4 linked regions of the Alligator mississippiensis genome follow. The protein of the gene in region 1 binds, or shares a complex with, the protein of each later gene. Links are inferred from orthologs where the notes say so. Each region holds a gene or a part of one and is shown on either strand. Other genes may lie near its edges. The genes, in order: MED23, MED26, MED31 and MED19.

Region 1 (7,722 bases):
CTATGCTACTCCTGAAAAATTTTGTTGGACCTGTAATAAATCACATGTAGCAGTAGGAATTAGCAAATATGAAGTAAAATTTAAAGTAAATGGTGCTTGGCTTTCTAATGGTTCCTGGATATCTAATTACTCCCCCCAGAGTAAATTTTCTGGGTGCTATTCACAATGGATGATGAAACCTCAATGTAGCACCACCTTCACTGCACTGGCTGGTCATTATTTTGTAAGTGAAAACAAAGCTTATAAAAATCTTCCTTCCGGGTGGGAAGGAACGTGTTATGTTTCTGCCGCATACCCTGCTTTCATAATTAAATCACATTTGCCAAAAAGAAAAATTCACAATGTTCGCAAAATTACTGAAAACCAAAGATTTGGGGGTATAATGTTCCCCAATTAGGGGGCAGGCTTAGCTATGTTTGAAATACAGAAGGTTGCAGTATCCTTTAAAAAAATAGCCAATGCCACTGCCATTGGGTTCCGTGAAATAAGTAAAGAAATCAAAGAAATGAGACAAATGACTTTGCAAATTAAACTTGCTCTAAACTATATACTAGCCAGTAAAAGAAAAGTATGTGCCCTGATAAAGTCTGAATGCTGTGTATATACACCTAATGCCTCTAGTGCCCTTGAAAATCAATCTGAAATTATTGAAAAAGAAGTTGTCGAACTTCGCCAAATTAACCAATGAGATATGAAAGGAATGTGGTCTTGGTTAACCTCCTGGTTCCCAAATTTAAGAACCCTTGGCAAGAAAATCCTGTATGGAATATTGTTTGTCTTGATAGTTCTGACAATGTTTTATGTCTTAGTGCAACTGATCCTCTGCTGCGTAAAAGCCAGCAGGAGAAGCTTCAGCAAGGCAAAAAAACACACGACAGAGTCTAGAATAATGGTGTTACAAAAGTGTAAGCAAATTAAAAGAAAACATAAAAGGCTGCATAATGAAATAGAGGGACTCATGAAAATAAAAGTTTAAGGCTAAAGTGAGACTAAATAGTCTCAAAGGGGGGACTGTGGAATCAGAAAAAAAATAAATGCCTTAAACTTTGATCATACGGGTTATAAGATGACATAACTGCTTTGTGGGGAATTGCTGGTTCTGCATAGTAGAGCAGATAAGGGAAAGTGTTTGTTCTTTGTAACTCCTCTGCAACTGCTTTGCTCACCGCAGCCTCAAAGAGAGGAGAAAAAAGTATGTACAAACTCTGATTTCCAGGGGCAAAAAGGGAGTGTTAGTTCTCGCTTCGTGAATTAACCTTGTCTCCCCCATAATTCCCATCCTGATAACAGCAAAGCAGTAATGAGCTAGTGTTTGTAGCTGCTTTTTCTAGCAAACTCCACTATATGATCATGTGAACTGTTAAAAAGTATATAAGCTTCCTGATTTTGCTCTTGGGGGGAAACCCATTCCAAGTGCTTGGGAAATCCATGCCACTTTGGGGTTCCCCCCTACAGCTGCAGTTTCATTTGAATAAAAGCTTCTGCTGATCTGACCCAAAAGTATGCTGTGTGTGTTTCCACGACAAGGCCATCCTGCAAATTTTGCAGGGACAGCAACACCAAATAGATGAGCTAATGAAACCTAGGACAGAAGAAAATGAAGCCCATAAGCTGTTATTTGCCCAAAAGCTGGCTCTGAATGAGAAAATGATGGAAACTGGTAGAGCACCGAGAGGAAGAATGGAGGAATTCCACATGACTTGGATGATTCCTGGGGAGGACCCAGAGGCATACCTTGAAGCATTCCAGAGGATGGCCACAGCAGCAGGATGGGATAGTCAAGTGGGCCTATCAGCTGGGTTCCCTAGTAATAGGCAAGGCATAGATGCCATATAGAGCTCTGTCAAGAGACAAAGCAGGTGATTACTAGGGCTGTGCGAAATTTTGCCCAGTGTTTCGTTTTGAAGCTGTTTCAATGCCTTTCGAGCTCGAAACAGCAAAATCAAAATGAAACAAAAGCCTTCAAAACAGCTTCAAAACAAGACAAGGGAACTCAAAATGTTTTGAAATTTTTTAAACGTTTCGAGTTTTGAAGCCAGGCTTACTTGGCTTCAGTGCCGGTCCCATCCGGCAGAGGCAGCCTCCTGTCATCTGGCAGGCAGACTGGGGGCCCGCCCAAACCTCCAGAAGGCTGCAGGGCTGTGTCAGACTCCTCCCGGAGGTGCAGGCCCCAACAGGAGGCTGGGGCTGCTGGCTGGGGCCAGCAGCAGCACTGATCTTCTAGCACAGGCTGCACCCAGCGCTGGTCCCAGCTGGCAGCACCAGCCTCCTGTCATCCGGCAGGCAGATTGGGGGCTTGCCCGCACCCCTGGGAGAGCTGCAGGGCCATGCTGGACTCTTCCCGGGGGGTACAGGCCCCCGATGTGCCTGCCAGATGACAGGAGGCTGGTGCTGCCGCCTGGGACTGGCGCTGGGCACAGCCCGCATCCAGCACCGGGAAGATCAGTGCTACCGCTGGCCCCAGCCAGCAGCACCAGCCTCCTATCATCCGGCAAGCAGATCTGGGGACCTGACATTCCTTGCAATAGTTTATATGGGTTGCACCCACACCATGGTGTGAACTGAGTTAGTTCCGCCTGGGGTAGGAGAATCCTGTGAGGCGATAACAATGATATGTTTGCATGGAGATGCTACAACCTATAAGAGGCAAAGTATTCCTTTAATGGTCCTTGGAAAAACGTATGACATGCTGGTAGGTTTAGCTAAAAACCTACCAAATCCATTGATACTAGGCAGGAATAGGCCATATATCAAGGTTATGCAGGAAGTAACCATAGAACCTGGGATGCTGCAAAGGCCCTGATGCTCCAGCTGACCAGATGAGGGATTTACAGGACAAAAGGGAGACAAAGAAACTTTAAGAGAAAGTATGGAAGAGTCACTGGATATACAAGGCCTGATTGGTCAAGGACAATTCCAGGCAGAGCAACAGCAGGAAGATGCATTTTGACATGTCTGTGGAAGCAATGTGGCTAGCTGAAACAGAGAGGTGATACAGTCCGAGCTCACAGATCAGAAAATGCAGTTTGAGGTAAGAGACAACATTCTTTATTGAATTGATAAAGGGATGGGGGCAGAAGAGGTAGCTCAGGTTTTAGTACCCCGGGGGTATAGGAAGCCCTTGTTATGGGTGGCCTATACCTTACCATTGTAAGGGTGGCATCTGGGAACAGACAAAACAGTGGTTCACTTGTTAAAATGGTTCTCTTGGCTGGGTACATACAAAGAAGTAGAACAATTCGGCAGGAGTCGCCTGCTCGCAGCCCCATCCCATCCACCTGGCCACACTCTCTGCACATGAGGGTCCCACATAGTCTTCACGTAGACCCCAGGATCGCTGGGCAGTGACAACACTGGGCTCGGGCCAGGGCAGAGTCATGATCTACTCCTTGCAAGTGCCTGGAACTGGAACCCATCGCAGGGGTGTGCAGGCAGCAAATCACAGCTCTACCCTGGGCCCCAGTCCTGCACTGTCACTGCCCAGTGACCTCAGGGTCTCTATGGAGAATGGTCAGGACCTGCCTGGGCAGGGCACGAAGACAGGCAGATGGGATGGGGCTGCATCTGGGGCCAGGTCCAGGATCTTGGGGCAGTGACAGCACAGGGCTGGGCCAGGGCAGAGCCGCATTTGCTCCCCACATGCCCCTACCTGCAGAACTTGTGCCCATCTCAGGGCCTTGTAGGCAGCGGATCATGGCTCTGCTCTGGCCCTGGTCCCACACCGTCACCCACCTGCAATTTTGCCTCATGACCCTGGCCTTGCCTGCCAGTCCTGCTCCCTGCCCCATCCCAACTGCCCAGCGGTTCAGGAGCCACTTAGGGAGTTTTGGTGAGCTGTGGCAGGGCAAGGGGAGGTATTGACCTGGCCTGCAACAGCTCACAAAAACTCCCTCTGTGCCTAACAGGCCCAAATAATTGCCCACCTGTTTTAGCCTGTAGTTCCAAAAGGTTGGTAAGGCTAGATTAGGATCATCTTGCTATCCAAAGCGCTTTCTCTCCATCTGTCTTCATTCACACCCAAGATGTCAATAACATTTCCAGCTTGCAGCATTGCAGTTCCATCCCAAAATCCTTCATGTAGCATGGCTAGTAAGTGGAGCAGCAAAGTCTGCAAAGTATTAGCCTCTTGCCAAAGCAAGATGATTTGGTCCCATGTCCTACAGTTTGTTTGGACACAGCTCAGTGATCCGTGTGAGAGAGATCGTTTCCTGTTTCTGCAACATCTTACATGGGGTAAATGTCCCACAAAACTCTGTATTTTCTCTATATAAAACTCTGTACGTTCTCCCCTATGTCCTATCCAGCATGAGTGTGCCAGGTTGCAGCCCCTTCGCTGCCTCTTCAAGAAGGTTCTGGCTGCCATGGGACCCACGCTGTCCTGTTCGTGCAGGCCCCATCTGCGCCCCACCACGTCCAGGCAGAAACATCTCCCCGCTAGGGATTCCTGCTTGAAATCCCTGGGTTTGTCTCGTGAATTGGGGGTAAGGGGCCCCACCCTGCACCCCAGGGATCTCGGAGCACCCCAGGACCCGAGAGCAGCTGATCTTCCTGGGAGAGAGGAGTCAAAATGCTTCTTGCCCCCATAGGACAGGCTGATAAAAGTCTGGGGGAGGGGCCACCCTGGAGGACTCGAAGCTAGCAGTGCTCGGCCTCTTCACGCTGCGGTCAGTGCCCGGGAGGGGCCAGCTCTCGGCTTCCTCGTGTTCATTAACCGCGCACAAAGCCGGACCGCCTCCCCCGGCGGCGGCAGCTTCGGGCTGCACAGCTTGAGCCTGCGCGCGCAGCTAGGCCGAGAAGGCGCCCCTAGCGGAGCGGGCGGGTGGGCAGGCGCCTCTTGCGGAACCACCGGCGCGGGCGCTGCTGCCGCCGGGCCGCTTTCGGCGCCGGCCCTTCCGCCGCGCCGGGCCATGGCGGTCCCGATGGCGCCGATGGAGACGCAGCTGCAGAGTATCTTCGAGGAGGTGGTGGTGAGTGTGGCCCGGGCCGGCAGCGCGGCCCCTCGCGCGGGGCGGGGCGGGGCTGTGCGCCCCGGGGTCGGGCCTTGGCTGTGCGCGGGGAGGGGCCCGCACTGAGACGGGGCCTTATCCGTGTAGACAGAGATGCGCGTGTGCATGTATGTGTACACATGTTCATGCATGCATGTACACGTGTACATATACATACACGTGTGCGCGCACACATGCAAACCCATACACACATGTGCATGCGCGCACACACGTACAAACCCGTGTGCACATACACGCACGCACACTTAGGCATATGCATACACGCATCGGAGACAGCGGTCCCTCGGAGTCGAGGATGACGTCTGTGGGGCTTGCTGGGTCCTCAGGTGAGTGAGGAACCCCATCCTGAGTGCACAGGTTCTTCCGCAACGGGGGCATGTTGCTGCACAGGGCAGTGGGATTCGCAGCCCCAGGTTGGTCTCCGTCTTCCTCCTCCACTGTTGCCGTTCTGCCTCAGTATAGAGTCGTTGGGCCTCAAGGCGGCACGCGTCATACATGTATACGCACACGTATGCGCACATATGAACACCCATGGATGCACACATACATGTGCATATGCGTGTGCACGTGCACACATAGCTGCATGCACACACACATGCACATATGTGTCTGTGTCTTCGGTACTCCTTCACAGTGGAGGATGATTGTCTTCCACAGCTCTCTTATCTGTGTGTCCAAAGCTGCCTGACAAGGCCGACCTGGGATCCACAGACTCTGCTGCAGCTCTGGCACAGGTTTCCATGCAGTGCAGGTGGCTCCAGATTCTCGATTTGCTCCACCGCAAGCTGCTTCTGCCAGCCCCATTTTTCTGTCTCTTGTTGTCATTGTAAGGTTTCAGGGTACTGGAAGTACTTTCAAAGCATCCTAGGGGTGCTGCCACTGCGTGGTCTGCATGACTGCTTGTTCACCAGTTACCCCTGCTTATTTCGCAGCTAACATTTCCTGAAGGTCATTCCTCTATCTGCCACCTATGGATGTGCTGGGTAGCGGTACAACTCTGTCCCCAGATAATATGCATCTCTGTCCAGAAAATGCATAAGCTTTCCTAACCCAAGTGGTGAGGGAACTTGGATTATAGGAATGCTTGTACTTTCTCTCTGTTTTCATGCAGTCATAAAATCATAGAAAATTAGGGTTGGAAGGTGCCTCTCTGGGTTGCCTGCTCCAGTGCCTTGCTAGCCTCCTCATGAGAGTGTTTTTCCTTATAATCTAACCTAAACTTCCCTTGCTGCAACTTGAGACCATTGCTCCTTGTTCTGCCATCTGGCCCTACTGAGAATGGTCCAGCTCCATCCATCCTCTTATTTTTTTAAGCTATATGTATTTCATATGGCTGAAAGGCAGTTACAGAGAGGATGGAGAGACTTTTCTCAGTGGGGGCAGATGACAGAATAAATAAGGAGCAGTGGTCTCAAGTATATACGTGTGTGTGTGTGTGTGTACACAAACATATGTAGACACACAAGATTTGTGTGTGTGTGATATGTAAATGTGTGTATATGTGTATGCATATATGTATAAACATACACACACACACTTTTATCTAGAGAGAAAACAAGCTTTCCTCAGCTCAGGATCATGTGGATTGAAGTTAAATTTGTACTGAGATTAAGGTTTTGGTGTTCAGAGCTGGAGGGGAGCAAGGGGTGCCAGTAAAGAATGTAAAAAGTAAAGAGATTCCTTTGCAGCCGCAAGCCAGGAGAACGAGCCCACTGGCAGTTTTTACTAGTTTTAAGGAGAGTGGCTGGTACCAAGACCAGACAGGTGGGGATTATATTAGTGAAGGCATGAGACCACAAGAGCCCACGCAGGAGCTTTGGACATTAGATCAAAAAGAAAAGGTTGAATTCTGGCAGAAGCAAAAATAGTTGGCCAAGATCTAGAGCAGGGTTGGGCAACTATTTCGCGCAGAGGGCCACTTAGCCAGTTTTGGCAGGCTGTCAAGGGCTGCATGAGTAGCCCTGCCCCTTGATAGGTGCCCTGCCCCCTGGTCACTGTCTTGGGACCAATGTCCCAGGGCCAGCACTGGTGAGGCCCAAAGCGAGGCACAGGCTGGCAGGAGTCTGTGGAACCAGGCTGGGCTTCACCAGCAGAGAGAGTGGGGAGTTGGCCCGGCTCCATAGAGCCCCTGCTGACTGAGACCCTGCGCTTCTGCCACCCTGCTCTGGGTCCCACCGACACTGGCCCTGGGACACCCATGTGGGCCCTGTGCTTCCACTGGCTCCTGCATCTGCTCACTCCCACTCACTCTGTGCGCTCCCCGCGGTACAGGAGGCGGGCAGCGCACAGCCCCAACCTCCTGCTCGCCGGCAGGGAAGAAGCTGGCTCCTGTACCTGCTCACTCCCAATGCCCCCCAGCCCCGCGGTATAGGCAGCAGGCAGCGCACAGCCCCAACCCCCTGCTTGCCGGCAGGGAAGAAGCTGGTGCTGAGCATGGGGAAAAGCGACCGCTTGTCCACCCCATGGCTAGCCCTCCCTGCTGCAGGCGCTTGCAGCCCACATGAGGCTATCTGGAGCAGGCACAGGCAGCCCCATGTGGGCTGGAAGCGGCTCTAGCACAGGGCGCCGGGCACTGGGCGACCAAGGGGCCGCTTTTCCCTACACTCAGCACCAACTTGTAACCCAGCCCCACTGCCAGCCTGGGCTCTGTGCCGGCTCTGGGCTTGCCGCGCCAGGCAGTGTTGGCTGCTGCTGTCTGGCTGGAGCACACACTGGG
Region 2 (7,996 bases), on another chromosome or scaffold:
GGGGCGGTCCCGGGGGGCAGGGCTATTTCGGAAGGCCCCGCGCCGGCCTTACAGAGGCAGGAGCCTCGCGGCGCGGACTGACCTGGCTCGTACTTGAGGTAGAGCACGGACACGATGAAGTAGCCCAGGTCGAAGAGCGGGAAGACGGGCAGGCTCGCGAAGGCGGCCGCCAGCTCGCCCGGCTGCAGGAGCCCCGACAGCTCCATGGCCGCGGCGGAGCGCCCCCCGGCCCGGCCCGGCTCTGCGCTGCTCTGCGACGCGCGCTCCGCCGGCCCGCAGCCCCGAGGGCACGAGGAGGCGGTGCCGCCCCGCCCCCTGGGGGCCCCGCCCCGCCCCGCCCCGCGCGCTATGGGGCGGGGCCGCCTGCAGCGTCTCGTGGGCGGGGGGCGGCGCCACCTGGCGGGCGAGCGCGGATTGGCAGGCAGGGCGGGGGTACTTCCGGTTCCGGTGCCGCGGCCGCCACCATGATCGGGGACCTGCTGCTTTGCGGGTACCGGCCGGCCGTGCAGGCGGGGGGGGGATGGCGGGGGGCGGGCCGGGCTGACGCGCTGTCTCCCCCCGCAGGACGCTGCTGATGAACGCGGGCGCCGTGCTCAACTTCCGGCTGTGAGTGCGGGGTGGGGTGGGGTGGCGTGCCGGGTGCAGCGCGCGCTGGCTGGCGGGCGGGCGGGCGGGGGTGCAACCCTGTGTCCCGTCCCGCCAGGAAGAAGAAGGACACTCAGGGCTTCGGGGAGGAGGCCCGGGAGCCGAGCACAGGTAAGGGCGGCCCGCGCCCAGGCGCCCGCTCGCGCTGCTGCGCGCGCACTGCAGCTCCGCCCCGCCCCGCCCCGCCCGCCCGCCCGCAGCCCACGGCCGGACCGACAGCGCGGTCAGACGCTGCCGCCCCGGCCCCGGCCCCGGCCCCGCTGGGTGGGACACGCCTTCCTTTCCTTCCGGACCAGCCCGCCCCGGGCCCATCGCGTGGCTCGTGCTTGCGCCACAAAGGCTCCTCTTGCCTGCCGGGATGGTGACGGGGAGCCGCTGGTCACGGGTCTGGCCGGTGCGCCGGCTTGCCCTCGCGCTCGCGTCGCCGAGCCCCTCCCTACCTGCGTTCTTCTCTCGCTTCTTTTTCTCGGTGGTCTTTCCCCTGGAAGGCGAGGACGGCGTTGAGTCAGCGCCGGGAGCGCGTCAGGCGCCGGCGTGGGGGTGCCCCGCGATTCAAGTAAACGCTTCTCCTCTCCTCTTGCTTTCCAGGGGACAACGTCCGGGAATTCCTGCTGAGTCTCAGATACTTCCGAATCTTCATTGCGCTCTGGAACATCTTTATGATGTTCTGCATGATTGTGTAAGTAGAACTGCTGCACGTGTTGCTTTAAAGGGGCAAAGCTACTTACCTTTGTCACCCGGTGAGACTTTTCCTAGTGTATTTGTAGTTAAAACACCCAAAACCTGAGCCAGGCCAGCCCCGTTGCGCAGTTGTAGCCAGCTGTCACCTGCTTCGTCTGTGTTTCATCCACTAGGTTGTTTGGCTCTTGAACGGCATGGAAGCGTGTACCGGGCGCAGGTGTTCTGTTGTGGCTGGGAAGAGGCTTTCGGCTGGAAACGTGACCGCTTAAAGTAAAATGTTGCAATGTTTTCAAAATACCAGTGTGGAATTCTGTGTTTTCTTTCTTTCATGAGAGTACCTAGATGTTACAGGGACAGGACACGCTCGTGCTTTTCAGCAAATTGTGAAAGGACGTGGTTATAAGAACAACATAGCATACTGTCAAGGGGCGGAGGGGCACTTTCATGGCTAGGTAGACCCAAACTGACCCTCCTGGACACTCGCCTCACCTAGATGTTACTGACTCTTTGGACTCTTCATGTCTCAGAACAGGGTCCCATCAACTCTGAACTAAGAAAAAACACCTTGGACCACACGCGCACTTCTTGCTTGCCGGCCTGCATGCTCGTTGTCTCAAGTAGTCTGGGCCGCCGCCTTGATTCTCAAAGCACAGCTCTGCAAACGGCACTGGTGGCCAACAGCATGATGCCTGCTCGCTATCTAGTATTATAATATTGTTTGCCTTTTTTTTTAGATTTTTTCTTCACTCATTTGAAACTCCTGGTCTTTTCCTGCCTTTGATTTCAGTCTGCCAGTATATAACATGGTGTATATATGCAGCATTTAAAGAGACATTTCTCTTGACCAAAAGACAAATTTTGACATTTATAAAAGGCTGTTTTCTTTTTTTAAGTGAAGCAAGCTGTTACAGTGCAACTTAATAGTTAGACCAGCCATTTGCTGCTTAGTTTTCTTTTGGCCGCAGCAATGACCTCAACATTTGGGTGCTTGGGGGGCTACCTAATGAAGAAATAACTGCAGAGGAGAAAAATACTGTTTGTTACATCAAAGACCATAGTTGTCTGTAAACTGTTCCAAAGACACTACCTGCAGACTTTTTGAACATGAAGTTAGTAGTCCAGGGGCCACCAGAATCAAGTAGTCTTCTAAAGTTGGTAACACACATCCTTATATTTGAAATGAGGAAGAACGCGTGCTCTGTGCTGTTCCATTTACTATAAAAGGGGCCTGGAGGCTCAGGAGACGTTCCAAGAAACTTGTGGGTCAAAAAAGAGAATTCATCATCAACAGAGGTAACAAATACTTAAACCAACTTCTAAGTGTTCTGATGACGTAACAGATTGAAAAGAAATAAAAAAATACATGTTTTCAATCTTTTTTTTTCCCTTGCATTTTCTTTTGGCTTTCCACGTTGTTTGGTAATAAAGTACTCAAGTAAACATTTGGTTTAAATTTGAAGAGTGGTGTTTGTCAGCCTGCTTTTGAGCTGTTATTGCACTGTTTTGATACCAGTTCTATTGTTCATGTTTCTTTTTGTGAAAAAGTGATAAATGTAATTGAGGACTTATAGAGACTGCAATTTAAATATCAGTTAATTAGATGGCAACTAGTTTTATCAAGTGGTGCGCAAAATGCCAAAGCGCATCCTCAGCTTCATACATCTAAAACAGTCAATACATGTAATGCAATCAAGCTTCTTCAATCAGTGTTGATGATTGAGTGTAATTGAATCTTTGGACCAGTGCTAGAGCCTTCAAGAAAAACAGCTCAGCTATGGCAGGGAACGTGTAACTAAGCAGTAAGAACACGTTTATCTGAGGGTTAAAGCGGGTGCTGTCTTGTTCCTACTCTGAGCACGAGTCAGCTTCATCCTAGAAGAACTTTGTTTGCGGTAGACTGTCCTGTAATTATGACTGGCTTCCCCTAGCATTTATTTTTATTAAGTTGATATTGGTGTGCCTCAGCCAGCAACTTTGACTATGGGCTGACAAAATAAATAGGGAAGGAAAGGGGTGGAGGGTGTGGGTGTGGGGGAAACATTACCTGACCCCACTTCTATGTTTCTTTTTTTTAAGCAAGCATCTTCAGTCACGGGCTCTCCTCTGTGAGCAGCTCATTGCCCGCTAGGCACTTTAGCTCCTGGACTGGAGAGGGATTTAATGGATTGTACCTCCAGTTCAGTCAAGCGTCCAGTTCTAGGCAGGAGCAAGCATGCAGCCGCTGCACAAGCGCTGTGTGCTCACAGCCGTTCAGGTCTGCGAAGAGATGCTGTCCCGTATTACCTGAAATGCTGATGTCGCTTGGGAGGGTCGTTGTAAGCCAAAGGCACAGCATAATCTACCTGGGAGGATTGATGGGAAAAGATCTTTGTAGAAATGCTAGGCTAACTCTGAGCCCCGCCTTGTCTATTATCTACTTTGATCTCTCTTGTGCTGTATTTTATCCCTTTCCCCATGCTTTCTGTTGATACTGTTTACCCTTTATTTCTGTATTTAATCGTTTTCTAAAACAAGATGTAAGTAAGGATTTGAGTATTCACTTCCACATGCCTAGAAATGCCCCTCCTCCAAGGGGAGAGTTCTTGTACTCTGGGGGGGGGGGGTTACTGCGGGAAGGGAAGGCAAGGCAAGGCAAGGTCCCGGCAGCGGGAGGAGCCAGGGCAGTGCCACGGCGTAGCTCTCTGCATTCGCCCTCTGTAAAGATGTGGAATAAGCTGCTTCAACCCCACTTGCTCAGTCACTCCCCCGCGGGGGTGACGGGTGCGTCCGGGCCCGGCGCCCCGCATCCGACGCGAGCGGTGCCAACCCGGGGGAGCCGTGCCCCGGTGCAGACGGAGCGTGGCTCAGGCCGGACGCGGAGTCGGGGCCAGGACGACGGCGGGATCCGGCCGCGCGTGGGCAGAGCTCGGCGGCTGCGCCAAGCCGAAGGCAGGGTCGAGTTGCACCTTGCAGACCGACTGCAGCGGAGGCGCGCTGCTCGGGGCCCAAGGGCTGAGCGGCCGCTAGTTGTGAAGCGGGTCGCTGCTTTTCCCGGCCGTGCCGCAGAGGGGGCGCGAGCTGCCAGGGAGCAGCATCGCCTCGCAGGGGCGGCCAGGCCGGCCTCGGGCCACGCACCAAGGCGCCCGCTCAGGCGCAGCGCCGGGCCGGGCTCGAGCGGGCCGCAGCGGACGCACGGGACCGGCCTCGGCCTGGGCCCGGGCCCGGGCCCGGAGGCAGCAGCAGCGGCACCCGGCGCTCGAGGCAGCGGACGTGCTCCCCCGCGGGGCGCTGACGGCGGAGAGCTGATGCGGCGCCCGAGCCGGGCGGGCAGCGCGGAGCAGGCCCCGCCCCGCCCCGCCCCGCCCCGCCTCAGGAGCGCCGCGCCGCGTCGTGTGCGCGGGGGGCGGGGCGGGGCGGGGCGAGACGAGGCGAGGGGTGGCCCCGCCCCCGCGGGGGGGCCACAACTGAGCCCAGGGCGCCCCGCCCCCCCGCGCACGCACTGGCTCCACCCCGTCCCCCGCGCAGGCGCAGTGGCTCGCCGGGCGCGCGGCCGCTTTGCCCGCCGCCGCGGGAGCGCAACGTCACAGGCGCGCCGTGCGTAAGGGCGTCGGGCGTGGGGTGTGTCCCATGGTGCCCTGCGCGGGGCTGGCTCCTGCCCACAGTTGAGTTCGGCCCCGAGCGGCGCGGACGCCCCGGCCCGGCCCGGCCCCGCCCGCCCCGCCGACCCCGCGCGGCCTGGCCCGGCCCGCGCCCCGCGCCCGCCCGGCGGCGGCGAGCATGCGGCTCCGGCTCCGGCTCGCCGAGGAGGCCGCCGCCGGCGAGTGAGGAGCCGCCGCCCCGGCCCGGTCCGGCCCGGCCCGGCCCGTCGCCCCCGCCCCGGCCGCGCCGCCCGCTTCGCCCAGGCAATGACAGCGGCTCCGGCGCCCTCCCCGCAGCAGATCAGGGACCGGCTGCTGCAGGCCATCGACCCGCAGAGCAACGTGAGTGCGGGCCGCGCGCCGGCCCCGGCCCGGAAGCGCCTGCCCGGGCGCCGGCCCGTGCTCCGGCTCCGCCCGGGTCCCGCCGGGCCCCCGCGCCGCCCCGCCCCGCCCGCGCCCCCGCCGGCTGCACGGGGAGGCGGCAGCCGTGGCCGGCCATGCGGCGCCGGGCCGGGCTGCGCGCCCTACGCGAGGCCGAGGCTCCGGCGCGGCCTGCGGCGGCTCCGAGCCGGGCTCGAGCGGGGAAGCGGCGCGGCCCGGGCATGCCCCGGCCTCGCTCGGGCGGAGCTGCGCCCTGCGGAGCCGGGGAGGCGGGCAGATGGGGGCTGAGGGGTGCTGCGCTCGTCCCGGGGGAGAGGAGAGCAGCCCTGGTCTCTGCTTGGTCTTTATCCTTTCTGCAGGGCGCTAAGAGGCTTATCGCCCGGTGTGAGGATGTGGTATTAGCGTAGCGAAGCCGGCGTGTTTTACGTGTAACTGGATTTAACTGAAAACTACTTCTTGGGTTTCTGCCCCAAGTAACTCGAGGGCTTTAAGCGCTGCCGTCCGTCTCTGCCACAGGCGCGCTCCTGCTCCCGCGCGCGGCAGCCCTCCTGCTCAGCTCGCCAGCCGGGACGCCGCTCGGGGGGTTGCGAACGAGGGCGCAGCTCAGGACCTCCGTCGTAGGTGGTTTCCGACGGCCCGCGCGCGGTGGGGGCGTTGGGACGGGCAGGCTTGAGCCCTGCCTGCCGCAGGGCACGTGAGGCTGGCACTTCAGTCTTGCCAGGGTCGTGAGTGCTGGGCCCTTGAAGACCGCAAACGCGTATTGCCGTAGCAAAGGCTAATGGCGTCTTCGGGGCTCTCCGCTACGCACGTGTCATTCTGCCGCGTGAAAGCTGGAGAAAAATCGGCCCGATACCTGTGGTTCTCGAGTGCAATGTTATACACCTCTCATCTTACATGAACTGCAATAAAATAACTCTAACATGCCTGAATTTCCGATGGGTTAAAAAAACCCAAAGAAACCCTGTGTACGCAGGGTTTACCCTTGCGTCTCACCTAATTGTCAGTTGGTGTAGATGTTGAACATAAAATACCTGCAGCACGGTTTTCATAAGGGAGAAAGTTCAGTTTAGAAGTTAGTACTACCTCAAAACCCTGGATCTCGGTGTAAATTATGAGCACCTTTAGAGTGGCATCGGAGGACTGGGGAAGGGCTTTTTGTGCCCAAACGCTTGTCTAACATCCCTTCCAACAATGTAGGTTTAATAAGAGATATTACAATGAAGCTTGCTTTTCTCTGGACTGTATGAACCTAAGAAGTGCAGCAGTTTCTCTAACTGTTGGAGCTAATTGGTGCTCATAATCAGAAAATCCTGGCAAAGAAAAGCTTTCTAACAAAGCATAGGTTTTGAAGGATTAATTTGCTAGGAGTTGTTTAATCACAATAAAAATGAGTAGCGGTCATTCGCATTCATGTTCTTGTGTATCAAATCAGTCTGACCCCAAGGCCTAACTTTAATTGAATGATTCAGCTGTGCCGGAATAATTTGGGGGGTTGCAGGGAGGAGGACTGTCCTAATTGGCAGATATCCCACTGAAAGGTGAGCTATACCAGAAAAAAATTCCCTTGCCTGTGGAGCAGTTTTGTGTGGGGAGCTGCTAGTATGAACTATCCTGGGAAAATAACTTTCCTGGGTTATAGGCTGTACCCCCATTTAGAAGGATTTGCTGATATATAGATACCAGCAAACTCACTCCAGTGTAGACATGACTAGAGTCATGGCTTTAAGGACTTCTCTGTGCATATTCTTCTTTTTTTTAACCTGTTATCCTAGCTGGACACACATGTGCATGCATGCCTGTGCACTTATCTGAAAGTCTGGTGGGGGACTTCAGCTTTTACACTTTTGCTTCGCTCGTTATACTCACTAGGTTGGGAACAAGGTGTTTCATTTACATACACGTTTAGTTTAACACTGAAACCTGTTCCACCAGTCCCAGAGAAGTATACTGAGATCTAAATGTTGTGTATAAATATATATACATTTCCCCCTGTTTCCCACCCACCCCAGGATGCATATAAGAAATAGATTATACAGACGAGCATTGGCTCATCCAGGGGCCTTCCCACTACATCAAGTTCTCCATTCCTTTTAATTAGGCTCATTTTACTAAAAATGCTGTAAGGACTCTAGTCAAATAGCGGGTGTCAACATTCATTTAACTGAAATGTTTGTAGATCAGCTACTGTGATTGGTACATAGGGGACAGAAAAGTAGGTGGGATCTTTTCCATTCTGGTTGTAACGTGTTGTAGAAGTGTCTGCAACTTGTATGTTGTGTGAAATGTTATAGAGAAGAGGTTCCCCACTGTTGCCCTCTGTTACTAAAAGTAGCGATATTTTTCTTTAGCGCAGGATGCACTGAGAAACCAGACATCCACTGAGCCGAATCCCTTACCCTTCTCTTCCCCACCTGTTTTTATAATGCTGTGTTTCATGTTTTTCTGAGGTTGGGTAGTGATATCCATGAAAACAGATTTATTAATCCTTGATTGGCAAACATTTATTGTAAATCTAAGGTTTAAGTTCCCTGTTCTTCAGCTACATAGGGGTCAAGTCCATAATAAACTTGCTAGTTTCTGGTGGGTAAATATATATTGCCATTTCTCCTTGAGTTTAAACATGGAAGATAAGTAAGGCAGGAGGTATGAACTTGGGGATTGAAAGCTCTTCC
Region 3 (7,968 bases), on another chromosome or scaffold:
CCCTTTTGGTGTGTGTCATTTACCCAGTAATAAAAGCATATGCAATGTTTTAAAACTAGGAAATATTGATTGTAAAATAATAGAACACTGGTAGAGAGCTTCAGGGTGGGTACAGTACCTGCACCTGAAACTATTTTTAAATAAAAATTTCAAGTTGACACTATCCCCATGGATACATTTAAAATGTCTCCTTGATATATTCCCATGGCTTTTAGCAATTTACTTAGATATTCATATTGGCATCTATTACCAAGGCACCTGCATGCAGTTCATAAATTAAAGTAATTGTTACACAAAATAGAACATTGCCTATTAATAAAAAACCCATTCCTACTTGGCCAAAGGAATTTTATGAATTAAGCAAACTTCATATTATCACTAGGTTAAATAATTCAGCCCCCTTTTTTTGTATTGCTCCCCTTCCCTCTATTATGCATTCCAAGAATAGGAAATACAGTTAACAACAGTAAAAGCCCTGTTATCCAGCACAAGTGGGGAATGGGGAGGTGCTGGGTATCTAAAAATTCTGGTTACCTGAGGCCAACAGTTTTTGGCCAGGGGGGTGGGGTAAGGGTGGCAGCAGCACAGGGTGGACATTTTGGCCAGACGCAATGCAGGGAGGAGGTGGTGGTGGCAGCACAGGGTGGATGTTTCGACCAAACACAAAGTGCTGGCAGCACTGGGTGGTGGCAGTAGCAGTGGCGGCCACCACGTGCGAGCTTCCCTCCCCACCCCAGCACCGTGTCTGGCTGGCTGGCCGAAATTCCGGTTAACAGAGTATTCTGGTTAGTAAAATGATGGATAACAGGACTTCTACTGTAATATTAATTTTTCACATACCCACAGTTGAAATTTCAACTACTTACAGTTGAGGTAATTTGGGTTTGCCAGACACTGGACAAATTCTAACTCTAGCTGGAAGCGAAGTCGATTTCCAGTATCATCTGAAACAGAGGAAGTAGATCAGAAAAAGGAAGCTCAATCTACAAAGACCATAACTAGGAAAAAGCTATTAAGGATCTGATGTCAGATTATGTTGCTCAACTATCTGAGACAGTAAGAAACAAGCAATGTATTCCCCAAAAAGATTCAGATTCGTTTTGAAAAATGGCTCTTGCCAGTTTTTAAAAGTTGTGTCAAAAGAATCGTGTGTGGCCTTGAAATTGAAAGGGAAAAATGACTACTGACTGACCACAATGCAGAACCAGGGGCTAATGAAAGCTGCATTTAGTTTTCCCTTTGAATGTTAGCAATTTTTTACCTCTTACCTGCATGACATGAAAACCTCACTCTCTAATTTTGCACCAAGACTTTAACAAGAGCTTGAGACATGGGTTACTCTGGAAAGAGACCAGTTTTGATTTAAAGCAGTGATTCTCATCTCAAGGGGGGATGACTCTTTGAAGGGTGACAATGAGATGTGAGGAGATGAGTAGATAAACTCAGACTAAAGACTCAGCCACTCCCCCACCCCCAATGCCATGTCCCTCTGCAGGGAGATAAGACCTGAAATAAATTAGTTTTTGAAGTGGGGTGCAGTGCAATTCACAGAAGTTATGAAAGGGTACCTTGAGTCTAGAAAGGTTGAAAATCACCGATTTAAAGACCTCAGCCAATAGGGAACCTTTATGTTAACTATAGCAACAATTAATTAATAAAGGGTACACTTTACTACGAGTTTAATTTACCTAGCTTTGCCTGACAAAACACTAGGTCTCTTTCTGCCGGACTGACACAGACCACCATCAAATTAGCTCTTAACCTTCTCCAAGATAAGCTAAACAAATTGAGTAGGGCTGCACTGATAAAGATTTTTTTGGCTGATACCAACGGCTGATTATTAACCAGCCATATCGGCCGATACCAACCTGATACTGTCAGGAAGTCGGGGAGGGGGGTCAGGGGGGCAGATTAAGGTCTCCACAGTGAGGGAAGGAGTGGGGCAGGGGCAGGGGCTGACCAGCCAGGACAGTGAATGCAACCTTGGGAGTGGGGTGGAGCCACAGACGCCTCATCGGGGGGGGGGGGGGGGGATGTGGCCCCCTGGATTTGTGTGCACGGTGAGGGCAGGCTCTGGAGGCCAGGGGCTGCACCAGCCTCTTCGGAGGGGCACTGCACTTGGGGTGGGTGGGGGTGGGGTGAGAAGCAGCAATACAGGGAGGGGTGGGCTACAGCCACCCCAAAATCCACATAGCCACCCCCTCCCCAGCACTGCTGATGCCCACCCCGCAGCCCCATCTTGAGTCAGAAAACCAAGGGTAGCCTTGAACATCACAGACTAACCAAAGCATCTATACACACAGAGCAAAGCAGACACAGCACTGGCTTTTGGAAGCTGAGGCTCATTTCACAGCACCTGGCACGTGTGTGTGTCTATCTGTATGTGTGTATCGATCTGTACATGGGGGGGGTCTGTATATAGTAGGGGTATCTGTATGTAGGGGAGGGGGGGTGTATCTATCTGTATGTAGGGGGGTGTGGGGCTGGAAGTCGGGGGGTGTATCTGTGTGTGTGTGTGTGTGTGTACGAAGCATACACCTATATTTGGGGATGCGCACGCCTGCGTGTAGCTATAAATAGGGGTGCACGGGCCGTGTGCATCCATATAGGGATGCACGCCTGTGCGCACACTCACACACCGCCCCCCCAGCACAAGCCGTTGCAGGCCGAGGCCCCCCCGGGCGGGCCGGCCGCCCTGGATCCACTTCTGCCCGCGAGGGCCAAACCCCGCCCGCCCGCTCCCCGGGACCCTCCAGGGCTCCCGCCACAGCAGCGTAAAAGCAAGGCCGGGACCCCGCTCCCGCAGCCAGGTAGGGCCGTGCAGCAGCAGCAGCCACCGGCGGCATCGGAATAGGGGTTGTGGTTGTGGTTGTGGTTGGGGCGGGAGCGACAGAGCCCGACCCTCACCTGTCTCCATGACGACCCCAGCGGATCGGGCCCCGCGGATACAAGATGGCGGCGCCCCGCCCCACCCGGAAGTCGCTCGCCGGCCCGCCCGCGATGCATGGCGGGAGCCGCCGCGCCGGCGCAGACGTGGCCTCGCACGGTTTCCCGGGTAACAGGGCCCCGCTCCGCCCCTAGGAGCGCGCCGCGGGGCTCGCCCGGCCCGTGACGTCACTCGCGCTCTGTTATGACGTCCCTCTTATCCCTAGCTGAATCCTTCCCAATGGCAGCGATGAGGGGGTTACTAGTGTGTTTCACCGCGGTGGGAGCGGCGCGTGCTTTGCAAGCCAACGCGGTTTTTAAAACTTCCAAAACAACCATCCTTTGTAAAAACTGTTTGTCGTTGTTGAAGGGTTTCCCGTCCCGAGAGAAACCCGTGGTATGCGGGAGGCAATGTCCTTTCCCCCTTATAGCGTCCTTTCCCCCTTACCCCAGGGAAAGATCAAGCGTGAGGCCACGAAATGAGTCAGACGCGCCGCAGTAAAGCAGACGGCAGAAAGCTGGACTTTGGGGTTGCGATCCGGGGGGTGAGAAACACGCCGGCAGCACAGTTTCAGCGATCAAAGTTCAGCTTTATTTCAACAGCCTCTCTGTGCACACCGTGGACTTGACTTGCATGCTTTCCAATGGGCTTGCCAAACATTTGAGACATTTTCTGTCAAAAAAACCCCAAAAAAACAACCCCATAGCCAGGCAAAACATTTGTTTCACCGTTACAACTTACAGGGGCAGATTTTGATATTATATATTTTCTGAAGAAACATAACAAATACCGTGTGATCACGTCTATCCCTCGTGACCGATGAGAAGGGTTAAGGTTCTGCCCCGTGTTTACTCGTATCAAAACGTACCAGGTGACCCAGTATCTGCTGAATAAACCAAGAGATTTTAGTTAGCTTTTTCTTTCCAGCTGTTTAAAGCTGCAAGGACGATGGCAGAAACATTTCTGCAAAAGGTGGGTCGTGTAAGCGATCCCAAAGAAATGAGGAGCTTAGCCACCGAGTGGGTCCATGAATCATTTCCAGAAGTCGAAACCGTTTCCACAGAGACGTTACAAAGTTGGATAGAAAACAACCCAGAGGAATTGCTCATTCTGGTAAGTGATCCATTGCATTGCCTAAAAGCAACTTGTCTGCAATTAAAAACAACATGCATTGGTGTCCTGGTCACTCTTCTTCATTTTAAGATGTCAGCGTGTGTGCGTGTGCATGTGTGTGTGTGTTTAAGACAAAGTTCTTTGGGTAGATGCAACATCTTTTATTAGACCAACTAAATACTTGGGAAAATTTGCAAGTTTTCAGGTACAAACAGCCTTCTTCAGGCATAGGGCGGATCTGCTGGTGTTGTGTGCGCTCTCCTGGGTAGAACAGAAGCCAACATGCAAAACGCAGGTCTGTGCAATGCAAATTCATGGCAGTGAGTATCCGACGGGGGGTGGGGGAGGGGGGGGGAATGGTGTCAAAAACACAAATACTCAGCAAACTCTCCCGGTGCCTGAAAAAGGGCATGTGCGCCCAAAAGCTTGCAAGGAATAATTTTTCCAGTTATTGAGTTGGTCGAATAAAAGATATCATATTTACCCAAAGAACCTCATCTGTGTCCTTAGACCAACACCGCTACAACCAACACCCCCAAAACGTGTGTTTAACAAATTTTGCATAACCTCATTGTCCATGTAGAATTTTTGTACTTTACAACTATTCTCCAACTATTTAGGTTGGTCTAATAAAAGATATCAGATTCACCCAAGGAACCTTGTCTGCCTATGTCCTTAGACCAACACGGCTACAACATACACCCGTGTACTTTACGTCAGCATTTTGCATTGGGATTCTTTGAGAAAACAAGTCTCTTACATAAAGGTATTTTAGGGTGTTTACTACCATAGAAAAGCAGCACCTACTTAACCTCATTTCTGGTATATGTCAGTGGCCGCTATGTGTGAGACTACACTTAGATTTTTCACATTGTTTTACCACAGAAGCAGCATCAGTGCTAGATTAAGTGGTGGGATAGCCTGGGTGTGATCATTTCTGCATTTAAATTGCCACTAATACTTCTAGCATTGTGGGCACTGGCAAAACACCACTTTTTGTAACATCTGGATTTTTCTTGGAGATCTCACAGCCCAGATCCCACCCAGCCCAAACTTAGTATCTGAGATTTAATGATGCATAGTATCAGCAGATTGTTTTCCAGGAAAAAAGTAGAGTTACAAAGGGTATATATTCAGTCCCTGGATGGAAACTGAGGCCAGATAAGGTGACCTATATCTTTGGATTTATGGGATCAGGGTTCTAGGCCCAGTTTCCCAGACAGATGTGTTTGTAGATAGATGAAAGATTTATCTAGTATTTGCAAGACATCAATTTATTACAAGCTGATGCTGCACCAACCATGGTTGACAGCGTCCAGTTTGGACGTAAGAGGAGAGAAAGGGTGGGATCTCAAGTAGCTGTAAATCCCTGTTTAAAAGCAGCCAGGTCCTCCAGCCTGTTCCTAAATGAACGTGAACGGTGAAGGTCAACCAGTCTCTGCAGCGAATGCTGTATTCCTCAGAGCTTTGTCATAGCCAGACCATTAATACATGAAATTCTCTGAAAGAGCAGAATGAAGCTGCACAGTTGCACCAGCATCCTGCACAGGAGCCCAGCTTCTGAGGTTGCACACTTATTCCAAAAGTTACAGTTCTGCCTACTATTGCCATGCATGTTCTTCATGTCTGGGCAAAAAATCTACCTCCATGGTATAATGCTGTCACGCTACTTTGATTTCATGAGTCCCACTGTCATCATATTGGATGCCTCCACAGCAACAAAGCTATATACAGACTCACCTAGAACCTGTAACTGATATCACATTGCTAATTTTGTATGTTAAAATATGTTAAGTGTCTTAGCTAGCAATTTTCTATAATCTCATCTATTTCTATCTAACATGGATTTTTTTCTTCCTCCTGGGAATTGGATTATGAAAGTGTCCAAAAATGACTTGTTCTTAGCTTTTTTTAATATAATAGAGTTGCTTTTTTCAGATGAGGTTTCAGTGGTCGTGGAATACTACCATTATCACATAGAAAAGTACGAAGTCACTCCCCGGTAAACACAGACTCCGGGCTAAAAGCAGAGATCAGACAGATCCCACGTGTCAGCTTTTCTATTCTGAAATGTGATTCCTCTCCCAGGAATGACTTCAGAGAAGAAGACCCTTCAGATGGGTTGGTCAGAGGAATGAAATTACCATGTAGTTTTGCCCAGATTGAGTCATGCATCTCAATTTTGGGCTATCAAAGCTGGGAACAAATCAAAAAGTCACAGGAAAAGAACAAAGGTTACATGTTCTGGGAAAAGATTTTGAAATAAAAATCAGTGTAACTATATAGGTATGAGAGGCCTGAACGTGCGACTGTGAACCAGGAATTTTAAGTGCTGACATGGAAACTCCATGTGACTTTAAAAGATAAATTAAACTCAGTTTTTCCATCTACATACATACCCTATATCAGTCTTATCATTTGAAATCCAGTGCCTCAGTTGTTGCTCATGCCAGATCAATGGAAGTATATGTGTAAGTAGAGGCTGCAGACCTGGGTGCTTCAAACCCTTCGAAGGTGCTAAATACTGTTTGCTGTGAATTTTTGGTCCTAGAGTGCCTTCTCTGTGCCACGTATTTAACAAGCAGGTAGAAAGCTAAGTTCAGTGCTCTATAGAAATTAAAACCTGTAGAAGTCTAAATTGCATTATAGCAAGGACACATAGCTCTCGTATGTAATTGCCACAGCACCAAGTGGCAACAAAACTTGAGTTCCTCCCAGGTCAATATAACTCTTCTGTTTAGTGATATGCAAAGACATAGCAAGAGATCTTGCTGAATCCCACAGGTGAAATCCAACCCTGACTGAAGTCCACGGAAGCTTTGCTATAGACTGGAGCAGGGCCTGTTTCAGTTACCATGTATGAGCTCAGGCTAATCCATGCAGAACATATTTAGTTAAGTTCTTATACGTGATATAAGTTATTATATGAATAAATACATTCTATTTTTGAGGTCAAGGGACTGACAGGTAACATACATTTTAAAAGCCTATCCTGTGATATCTTTTGCTAAAACCATCTTCATCTGGAGCTTGTTAGACCCAGTTCTGAGGAAGCTTCATCACATCTGGTTGTCCAAAAGACAGGGATTTTGTGGCTTTTTTTTCAAACACAGGGACATGCGCTCATATAACTGATACTTTCCAATTTCAGAAAACAAAGGGGAATGAGAAGTGATTCTGAGATTAAAGATGCTGCATTTTTTAAAGTAGGGTCCTAAGATATCTTAGGTTTTCTTTTAATGAGTTATAAATTGATTGTTCCCTCCATCTTGTTGAAAACAACAGAAACAGCATTCCCTAATGCTTATTCATCCCAAAGTCATTTCTCAGCATGTTTTTTTATGAAATAGGGACAGAAATCACTGCCTTCCAGCTTAATAAAAGCAGACTGTAAGACCACTCTGCTGTCTTTCATAGTGAATACTTACTGACAAGTTTCATTTTCTAGTGAGAATTCTATAAAACTTGTTCTGGGTGTTTTGTGTTTTCCAGCCTGCCCTTATATTCACCAAGTTCACAGAGAGTGTTACAAAGAATAGATCAGACTCTACCAGCTTTGTCCATGATGCCCCTACTTTGAAATATGAAGCATGATATTTAATCTCAGAATCACTTCTCATTCCCCTTAGTTTTCTGAAATTGGAAAGTCCCAGTTATATGAGCGCATGATCCTGTGTTTGAAAAAAAAAGGCACAAAATCCCTGTCTTTTCGACAACAAGACTTGAAGCTTCCTCAGAGCTGGGTCTGATAAGCTCCAGATGAAGATTGTTTTAGCAAAAGCTATCACAGGATGGGCTTTTGAAATGCATGTTACCTGCCAGTTCCTTGACCTCAAAAATAGAACTCAAGTGAACAGTTAAGCCTTTAATTAAATATGCTCTAACAATCGTGTCAGTCAGTGATAACTATGATCTTGCTTCTATTGAGT
Region 4 (7,934 bases), on another chromosome or scaffold:
CACTGCAGGGTTCCCTAGCAGTCTCAGCCAGGCAGGTGTGTTGCCTGACCCTGCTGACATCTCCTAGTCCTGCAGATCAGATAACAGCAGCATGGCTCAGACCACTGTCAGACATGGCCCTCAGCCTCTTCCCAAGCAGAGATTTAATTAAAACAGGAATAAAAAGGAGAAAGCACCTGACTTAGTCAGGAGTATTTAAAAAAAAAAGGAAAAAGTTGGGCCTGGCTCTGGGTCAGGGCAGCAGGTTGTGTACCATCTCCATTTCAGTCCATGTTCCCAGCCGGCTTGTGTCTGGACAGTCTGTGCCCCCAGGCAAGGCAGCCCAAGTGCCCTCCAATAAGCCGCTTTGGGAGAAGAGTTCAGTCAGTGTTGCCTCCAGGACTGTTCTCCCAGTCACCCACATCTGCAGCAGGCATCTTCCCAGAGCCACTTTAGCACTGGGGTCGTGCTTGCCCTCACCGGAGGCTGCTGCTGCTGCTGGCTTGCGAGCTCCCCACTCCTGGGTGCTCTGGGCTGTGACGGTTCTAGGAAGAACAGACAAGACACAGACACCCTTCCCTGAGAATCCACAGTGAGACTGTACAGGTTACCAGTGGACTATGATAGCTTAGCCCTGAAGCTGGAGGAAGATTTTTTTCCTTTAAAAACAAACAGTCATAATTTCATAGTTGGTAGGGTCAGAAGGGACCCAAGCAGTCTTCTCATTAAAAACTGGGATTATAACTCCAGTTCTCCCCATGAAGTTCACTTTCATGGAAAACATTTGAGGGTTGGGGAGGGAGATGTTTAAAAATGCTGCTACAGGGCCCTATAGGAGACCATGGAAGTACAGCCCATGTTCCTATCCTCCTATAAGACCTCTGGTAACACTACAATTTCCAGGATGCACTACTGCTTCCTCACAGCAGGAGACCAGGGTGCATGGAAAATAAAGAATAAAATGGAAATATGAGGCAGCCAGAACTACCAATTCTTCTCTCCACCACTGCCCACAGCTGTATTTTCTAATTCAGTTTGTTGGGTTTTTGTGCTTCCATTTGTGCAGAGGAATGAGGAAGGGGAAGGAGCTTATTTTCAGCCAGATCCAGATGGGAAACACTGTTTCTTGCTGGAGCCTCCTCAGCCTTTAAGTCAGACCCCTACAAAGGGGCTTTATGCCAGGACGGAGACTCCCGAGCAAAACAGGTCACAGGGAAGGGGCTAGACTAACTGTCCCCAACATTTTTAGGCTCAAGGCACCCTTCCACAACTGCAAATTGAGCAACACCTCTTTCCAAAAGCCAACGTGTTTATTTTAGTGGCTTGCAAAGAAAGAGGAGCAGCTGGCAGTGAGTGTCGGGGCAGGAGCAAAAGAAGGCAGAGAAGTAGTTAGAAGAGCTCATACTCATCTCCTCTCTCCCAGTGGCACCCTGTGAAAGGTTGTCACAACATCCTGGTTGAGAATCACTAGGCTAGACAGATTTGCAGCTCTGTCCCACCCCAGCACGGCAAGCACAGCTGGGCACGGACATGTGGAGTGGAGCCAGTGCACCCCCAGCCCCTCTCTTAGTTTGCCACTCACCTTTTTTTTCTTCTTCTCTTTCTTCTTCCTCTTCCGCTCTGGATCCTCCTCCTTTTTCTTCTTCTTCTTCTTGTGGTCAGAGTCTGAAGGGGTTTCTGCAAGAAGAGCCACAGTTTGAGGTTTGACAGGCTAGTTACCTGTCCAGGCAGGGCCTGACCTTTTCAGAAGACAACTGGGGTGGATGGGCTGCTGCTTTCTCACACAGGCAGGTGGGGTTGTGAGCTGCAGCCCTTACCTGGGGGCACAGGATCCTGAGTGCGGCTTTGCTTGTGTTTGTGTTTGTTTTTCTTCTTGGGTGGCTGGATGTGCATCAGGCGGCACTGCTCTGGCAACTGAGGAGACACCAGGACCGGGTCAGCTCGGGGAGTTCCCGCTCCCACGGGGCGGGGCAAGACAAGCCCACATCGCTCTCCCAGCCCTGCTCCCCGGCCACATGCCCACCCCTGCCCAGGGTAGGGCGGCTCACCGGGCCAGCGTGCAGGCGGAAGCCCGTGAGCATGGTGCCAGTAAGGGGGGTGAAGGAGCTGCTGCAGATGGGTGGCTTCTCGATGAGGGAGCGCAGGCTGCTGTTGTCGTGGGAGCCAGGCAGGTCGATCATACCCGGCAGGTCGGGCAGGAAGTTGCTCAGCTTCTCCTTCACCTTCTTGCCACAGAACTTGTTGTAGGCGTGCTCCAGGTTGTAGTGCGTGATCAGGTTGGTGCTGCCCGTCAGCTCCGTGTTGCCTGTGGGCCGAGGGTGCCCGTCGCAGCCGAGGCGAGGCCTGACCGGCCCATGCCACCCACCACAGGCAGGCGGCGGCCGCCGCCGGGGGGAACCGGCAACAGACCCGAGTCCGTAGGAACCGCCCCCTCCCAAGGAAGGACCCCAGTGCCGCGGCGGCCTTTCATCGGGTAAGAGGCTGTTTCCCCACCCACACGCCCTCCTCCTCGGTCACTGGCTGTCAGTCACAAAAAATACAGAACGCCCGCCCTCTCCCTCACGCAAGGAGCGCCCCGCCCCGTGGACGAAACCGCCGCTAGATGCGGTGATAGGCCGGCCGGCCTGCCCAGCCAACCATCGGAGCACCCGGATTGGCTGCTGCGCCTCAGCCCGCCTGACGGCCCCGGATTGGCTACCTGCCGCGAGCCCCGCCCTCTACCTGGGAGCTCGCGCATCAGATAGAAGGGGCCACTGGAGGCCGCGGTCTTGCGAGAGTGGTCTTCTCCGCTTTGCGGCGCCGCGGCGGTGGGGGGAGGCGCGCTCCCGGGCCCTGCTGGCTTCCCCGGCCCGAAGCCCAGCGCGGCGGCCGCAGCGGGAGGCTGCGGCTCAGCTCCGCCGAAGAGCGCCGAGAAATTCTCCATCATCCCAGCCTGCCCTGCGCGGTCTCCTCCCATTGGCCTAGCGGCTTGGGGTTCTGCCCATTGGAGTGGTGGGAGGCCCCGTACCCCTCCCTGACTGGATAAAAACTGCCCAAGCTCCGCCTCGCGCCTGCTCGCTGGATGAGCCTGCGCCCTGCCCATCGCGTGGGGCGTGTCGCTGCGCTCGGCTCCACCCCCTGCTGGGGTCCTACTGGTGCTTCTCCGGCGCGTTTTGATGGCGCCACCCGTGGCCCAGCACCCGATTCGCCCCCTGACAGCGAAGTCCCGCCGCCCCGAGCCCGCGCTACCCAATAGGAGGAGGGATGGCAGGTGACTGGCGGCGGCGCTGGCCAATGCGTGGCTCAGTGCCCCGCCCCGCCCCCCGGCGCCCCAGCGGAGGTGAAGATGGCGGTGGTGGCGCCGCTGCTGGCGCTGTTGTGCTCCGTGCCTGGCCTGTGCCGCTGGCTGGCTCGGCCCTACTATCTGCTCTCGGCGCTGCTCTCCACCGCCTTCCTGCTGGCTCGCAAGGTGCCGCCGCTATGCCAGGGGCTGCCCACGCAGCGCGAGGACGGCAACGCCTGCGACTTCGACTGGGTGCGTGCGGGGCGCGGGCAGGCCCCGCTCAGCCCGGGCCGTGCCGTGCCGTGCCGCGCCTCGCGGCGGGGTGTCCGCCTTGCCCCGGAGCAGACCGGGGCTGCGGGCGGCTGCGTGCCACAATGGGGCAGGTGCCGGCGGGCTGAGACCTGCACGCCAGATAAGGCCGGAGCCAGGTGTGATCGCTGCCTCCAGTGGACGCCGGTGGCATGTGCTGCTGGCACCAGGTCGTGTGCGTGTCAGCCTGTGCTGGGTCCCTCCAGGCGGAGCTTGTCCCGGTTGATGCTTGCGGCTGGCCCCCTTTTCCGTGCAGGGCGGTCTGCCCAGGACCCCTGGGTTGCATTGGTTCAGCCTGATGCCCCTCCTTCCTCCTCTCCCTTCACCTGGGATGGTTCAGCCTAGGAAAGCGATTCCCAATCTGTGGTACAGGTACCACCAGTGGTATGCAGCCAACCTGTCCATGGCACCTGTTACCAGATTTATTATCATTGCTTTGTAGGACAGAAATCTGCCGGTGGTACTGAAATTTGCTGGGGGTACTTAAGGTTGTATCATTTTAAATTGGTGGCATGCAATCTGTCAGTTTGGGAACTGCTGGCCTAGATGCCTACAGTCCTGTGCTGTACTGGTTCACACCAGAACTCCCCTCCATCCTGTGCGAGTGCTCTCTGCATGTCGTATATCCTGTGCTGTGTTAGTTTGGCCCAGTACACCACCTCCGTGCCCTCCACAGGTGCCCCCAGGCCTGTGCTCTGTTGGTTCATCCCTGCATTTGCCCCCAGCCCCCTGCTGCCATGTCCCAGCCCCATGCTCACTCCACAGTCTCTTTCAGCGGGAGGTGGAGATCCTGATGTTCCTCAGTGCCATTGTGATGATGAAGAACCGCAGATCCAGTGAGTGTCTCCTGTTTCCCTCCTTGCAGCTCCTCTTCCTGGGGCAGGAGCCTCCTTGGCATGGGGCTGACTCCCTGTGCTGCCCTTGGGGTGGGCGATTTCCTCTGGATGCCTGTGGGATGGCTGGGTCTCCACTTCATGCCCCCAGGACTGGTCTGTGGAACTGCTTGGGGAAGGAGGGCGGGCAGGCCCAGAGCATGTGGTCAGAGGGCACAGGAGAAGTTGTGGAGGAATTGTGTGGGGGGGGGGGGTCAGTTTGTGGTAGGGATGTGAAAGGTTAAATGATTAATTGTTTAACCAATAAGCCCAGTGATAACTAATTGGCTTACTGGTTATTGTTTAGCACAGGGCCGGGTACAATCTGGCAGGGAAGGGAAGCTTCCACTGCCCCAGCAGGAAGGGCAGGTGAGGGGAACTAGTATCCTTAGCCCATGAGGCTAACCAGAAAAACAGCAGGTAGTCTAATAACTCAACTCGTCAATTAAGCAATTACCTCTTCCTTCACAGGGGACTTCATGTGGGTTATTCATAGATTCGTAGATGTTAGGATCGGAAGGGACCTCAGTAGATCATCGAGTCCGACCCCCTGCATAAGCAGGAAAGAGTGCTGGGTCTAGATGACCCCAGCTAGATACTCATCTAACCTCCTCTTGAAGACCCCCAGGGTAGGGGACAGCACCACCTCCCTTGGGAGCCCGTTGTCTAGCTGTGGGCACAGCTCCCAGCAGCAGTTGTGTTACAATTGTTATGTTATCGATTAACCCAGGGGCAGGCAATTATCTTGGGCGTAGGGCTGCTTGCTGAGTTTGGGCAAGCTATTGATGGCTGCATGACAGGAAGCTGGGGCAGATAAATATTAATTTTCTAAATTTTTTAGGGACCCCATGGGCCAGATAGAATGGCCTGGCAGGCCGCATTTTGCCCACCCCTGTGTTAACCATTTAACCAATATAATTAGAGAAGGTTAAATGGATAGGGTTTTTTGTTTGTTTTGTTTTAAAGGATGTTTATATCCCTAAACTATGGGGTGAGGTTTAGGGAGGTGATGGGACAATAAATATTGGGTCTGAATGGAAAGGAACTTGGCTAATGGGTGCAATACTACTGTTTCTCCTTCAAGCTTCTTGGCTTTCTGGTATCCAGGGATGAGTGCCTGGCCCTCCTGCTGACCCCTGCCTTTCTGTCTCCCCCCAGTCACCATCGAGCAGCACATAGGGAACATCTTCATGTTCAGCAAAGTGGCCAATGCAATCCTCTTCTTCCGGCTGGACATCCGCATGGGGCTGCTGTACCTCACGCTGTGCATAGGTGAGACCCAGGTCCCATTGGGGCTTCTGAAATGCCTTCTTTGAGAGAAGTCTGAACTGTGGCCTCTGGACAAAGTCCCTCTGCCTGTCAGCCCATTCCTTGGTTGTTGCTGTGGTGGCTGGTTCAGTAGGGCTGGGCTGTCCCAGGGATGCAGATGGGATGGGGAGTTAAAATGTCTGGGTCCAGCTCCCGGCCATTATGGGGCTGTCCTGCCTCTCCTCTCTGCAGGGGCAGAGAGGGCATGTGACAGCATTGCTTTAGGTTTAAGTGTCATCCGTGATCCATCTTTGGACCAAACATCATCCTCTTGATGAAGTCTTCCCGCTTTTATTCTGTCTGCATTGGAGCAGTGGCTGCCCCAGAGGGCATCCACTCCTTCCATATCAGCCCTTTGCCCCTATCAGTGGACTTGCTTGCTAATATTGTCTGAATTATAGTGGCACCAACTGGCTCCAGCCCAAGATAGTGCCTATTGCACCAGGCACTGCACATGCAGCATAACCGCTGCCAGCCTGCCCATTATGCAGAATTCAGGACGTAGGGTGGCAGCTCTTTCTGGTGCATAGCAAAGTGGCTAGGACTTGGGACCTCTTTTCTTCTGTTCCTTGCTGTGCCACTGTCCCTGCTTGGTGAGCTTGGGCACAGCTCCTCCACCATCTGTGCCTCAGTTTCCCTATCATGAAATGTGTTTTGATTCCAGTTGATGTTAAGTGCCAGGTGGAGGTGCTGCCACTTGGCTCAAAAGCAGGATGCTTTTAAACCAGCCTCACCAGGGTTGGCTGCTGCCACTTCCCCAATTCGTGCTCCAGTATGACAGGTCCAGCACCCTCCAGCTTTGAACAGTGCAAAGACTGAGCAAATTGCTCCTGGGGTGGAGGCTTGTACAGAGTTGGCCCATTCATGATGTGTATGCCATGTGTATGCCTTTCTAGTGTTTCTGATGACCTGCAAGCCCCCCCTCTACATGGGCCCTGAGTACATCAAGTATTTCAGTGACAAAACCATTGATGTGAGTATTTCCTGCTTCCCTGCCTCCCCCTGTTCTCCAAGCCATGAAGTGCGTATAGGCTGGGTTGGCTTGCAGTAGATCTGTACTGCTGTTTAGAGGGTCACCGTTATCTACCCCTACCACATAAGTTGTTCGTCTCTGTTTACATTGCTTTGTCATATACACGCCAAGCACAAAAGGAGAGACGGGTAGTGGGCAGCATGCCAGTGGAGCTCTTCTAGGAATTGCCTGTCCACCACCTGTCTCTCCTGTGCTTGGCTATGATGATAGGCAGTAAAGCTAGGAAGTAACACACAGAACATCTGGAAGCTGGGTGCTAGCAGACAAGATCCTGCAATACTGTGGTGAATGCTTTGGGGGATGGGAGCCATGCTTAGGAGAGCTTCTAGGGGTCAACAGGCCTGCTGCCAAGGATGAGTTTAAGGGTGTTTAACTGTAGGGTGCATTGGCAACACATAGGGGGTGCACACAGGTGCACAAGGACCCCCTATCTAGGCGGTGCAGCCCCTGTGAAAGGCGCTGCCAACACTGCCGGTGCCACCTGTGGGCAGTTGCTGCTTTCTCCTCCCCTCCCATCGACACTGCCAGTGGCATCTGCAGATGGTCCCTGATCGCCGCTGGCTGCCACTGATGCTGCCAGTGCTGCCTGTGGGTGGTTGCCGACCATGGTCGGCGCTTGCCCACCCCCTTGCCGCTGACAGTGCCACAGCTGCCTGCGGGAGCTCACCGCCTACTGCTACCACACTCCCACTGCTGACAGTGCCACCATTGCCTGCAGAAACTCACCATACGCGGGCCACACCCCCTGCCCCGACCTCCAAGGGCACGTGGTGTTCATGGTAGGCTAGAAGGGTAGGAATAGCAGGGGCAGGGCTGAGTAACAGGGCAGACATGCCCTTAGAGACCAGCTTTGAGCCTGTGATTGCCCCCTTTTCAGCCTATGCAGCAGGCTGCGCTATAACACAAGGGAGGGAGACCCACCAGGGTGCTGGCCTGGTAGAGTTGGGGCCAGACCTGGAGCATTGGTCTCCAACTGATCTGTTGCTGCATCTTATAGGAGGAGCTGGAGCGGGACAAGCGGGTGACATGGGTTGTGGAGTTCTTTGCCAACTGGTCTAGTGAGTGCCAGTCGTTTGCACCCATCTTTGCTGACCTCTCTCTCAAGTGAGTGACGTCCAACTGGGGATTTGGTGAGTTGGGGCTGGTGGGGGGGGTGGAGGGGGGAATGGGA

The links.
Region 2: MED23 (region 1) and MED26 share a complex: the UniProt entries of both Homo sapiens proteins name them as parts of the mediator complex. The link is inferred for Alligator mississippiensis from reciprocal best matches to the Homo sapiens genes MED23 and MED26.
Region 3: MED23 (region 1) and MED31 share a complex: the UniProt entries of both Homo sapiens proteins name them as parts of the mediator complex. The link is inferred for Alligator mississippiensis from reciprocal best matches to the Homo sapiens genes MED23 and MED31.
Region 4: MED23 (region 1) and MED19 share a complex: the UniProt entries of both Homo sapiens proteins name them as parts of the mediator complex. The link is inferred for Alligator mississippiensis from reciprocal best matches to the Homo sapiens genes MED23 and MED19.

What each region holds. Positions count from the first base shown.
Region 1 is NC_081824.1:114,295,193-114,302,914, reverse strand, and holds the start of MED23 (mediator of RNA polymerase II transcription subunit 23), read left to right. Parts: upstream 1-4,721; 5' UTR 4,722-4,907; coding exon 4,908-4,967; intron 4,968-7,722. UniProt on the Homo sapiens protein: Required for transcriptional activation subsequent to the assembly of the pre-initiation complex. Component of the Mediator complex, a coactivator involved in the regulated transcription of nearly all RNA polymerase II-dependent genes.
Region 2 is NC_081839.1:407,093-415,088, reverse strand, and holds the start of MED26 (mediator of RNA polymerase II transcription subunit 26), read left to right. Parts: upstream 1-4,983; 5' UTR 4,984-5,210; coding exon 5,211-5,285; intron 5,286-7,996. Other genes in the region: TMEM38A (trimeric intracellular cation channel type A), read right to left, coding at 83-206; SMIM7 (small integral membrane protein 7), read left to right, coding at 465-490, 565-606, 704-756, 1,234-1,324, 1,500-1,515. UniProt on the Homo sapiens protein: Component of the Mediator complex, a coactivator involved in the regulated transcription of nearly all RNA polymerase II-dependent genes.
Region 3 is NC_081837.1:9,414,273-9,422,240, forward strand, and holds the start of MED31 (mediator of RNA polymerase II transcription subunit 31), read right to left. Parts: upstream 3,008-7,968; 5' UTR 2,918-3,007; coding exon 2,908-2,917; intron 2,811-2,907; exon of another isoform or gene 2,728-2,810; intron 945-2,727; coding exon 867-944; intron 1-866. Other genes in the region: uncharacterized protein LOC132244834, read left to right, coding at 3,167-3,322, 3,854-4,039. UniProt on the Homo sapiens protein: Component of the Mediator complex, a coactivator involved in the regulated transcription of nearly all RNA polymerase II-dependent genes.
Region 4 is NC_081825.1:172,520,775-172,528,708, reverse strand, and holds MED19 (mediator of RNA polymerase II transcription subunit 19), read right to left. Parts: upstream 3,005-7,934; 5' UTR 2,936-3,004; coding exon 2,701-2,935; intron 2,285-2,700; coding exon 2,028-2,284; intron 1,894-2,027; coding exon 1,797-1,893; intron 1,657-1,796; coding exon 1,562-1,656; intron 525-1,561; coding exon 456-524; 3' UTR 126-455; downstream 1-125. Other genes in the region: TMX2 (thioredoxin-related transmembrane protein 2), read left to right, coding at 3,305-3,493, 4,326-4,386, 5,581-5,694, 6,627-6,703, 7,761-7,867. UniProt on the Homo sapiens protein: Component of the Mediator complex, a coactivator involved in the regulated transcription of nearly all RNA polymerase II-dependent genes.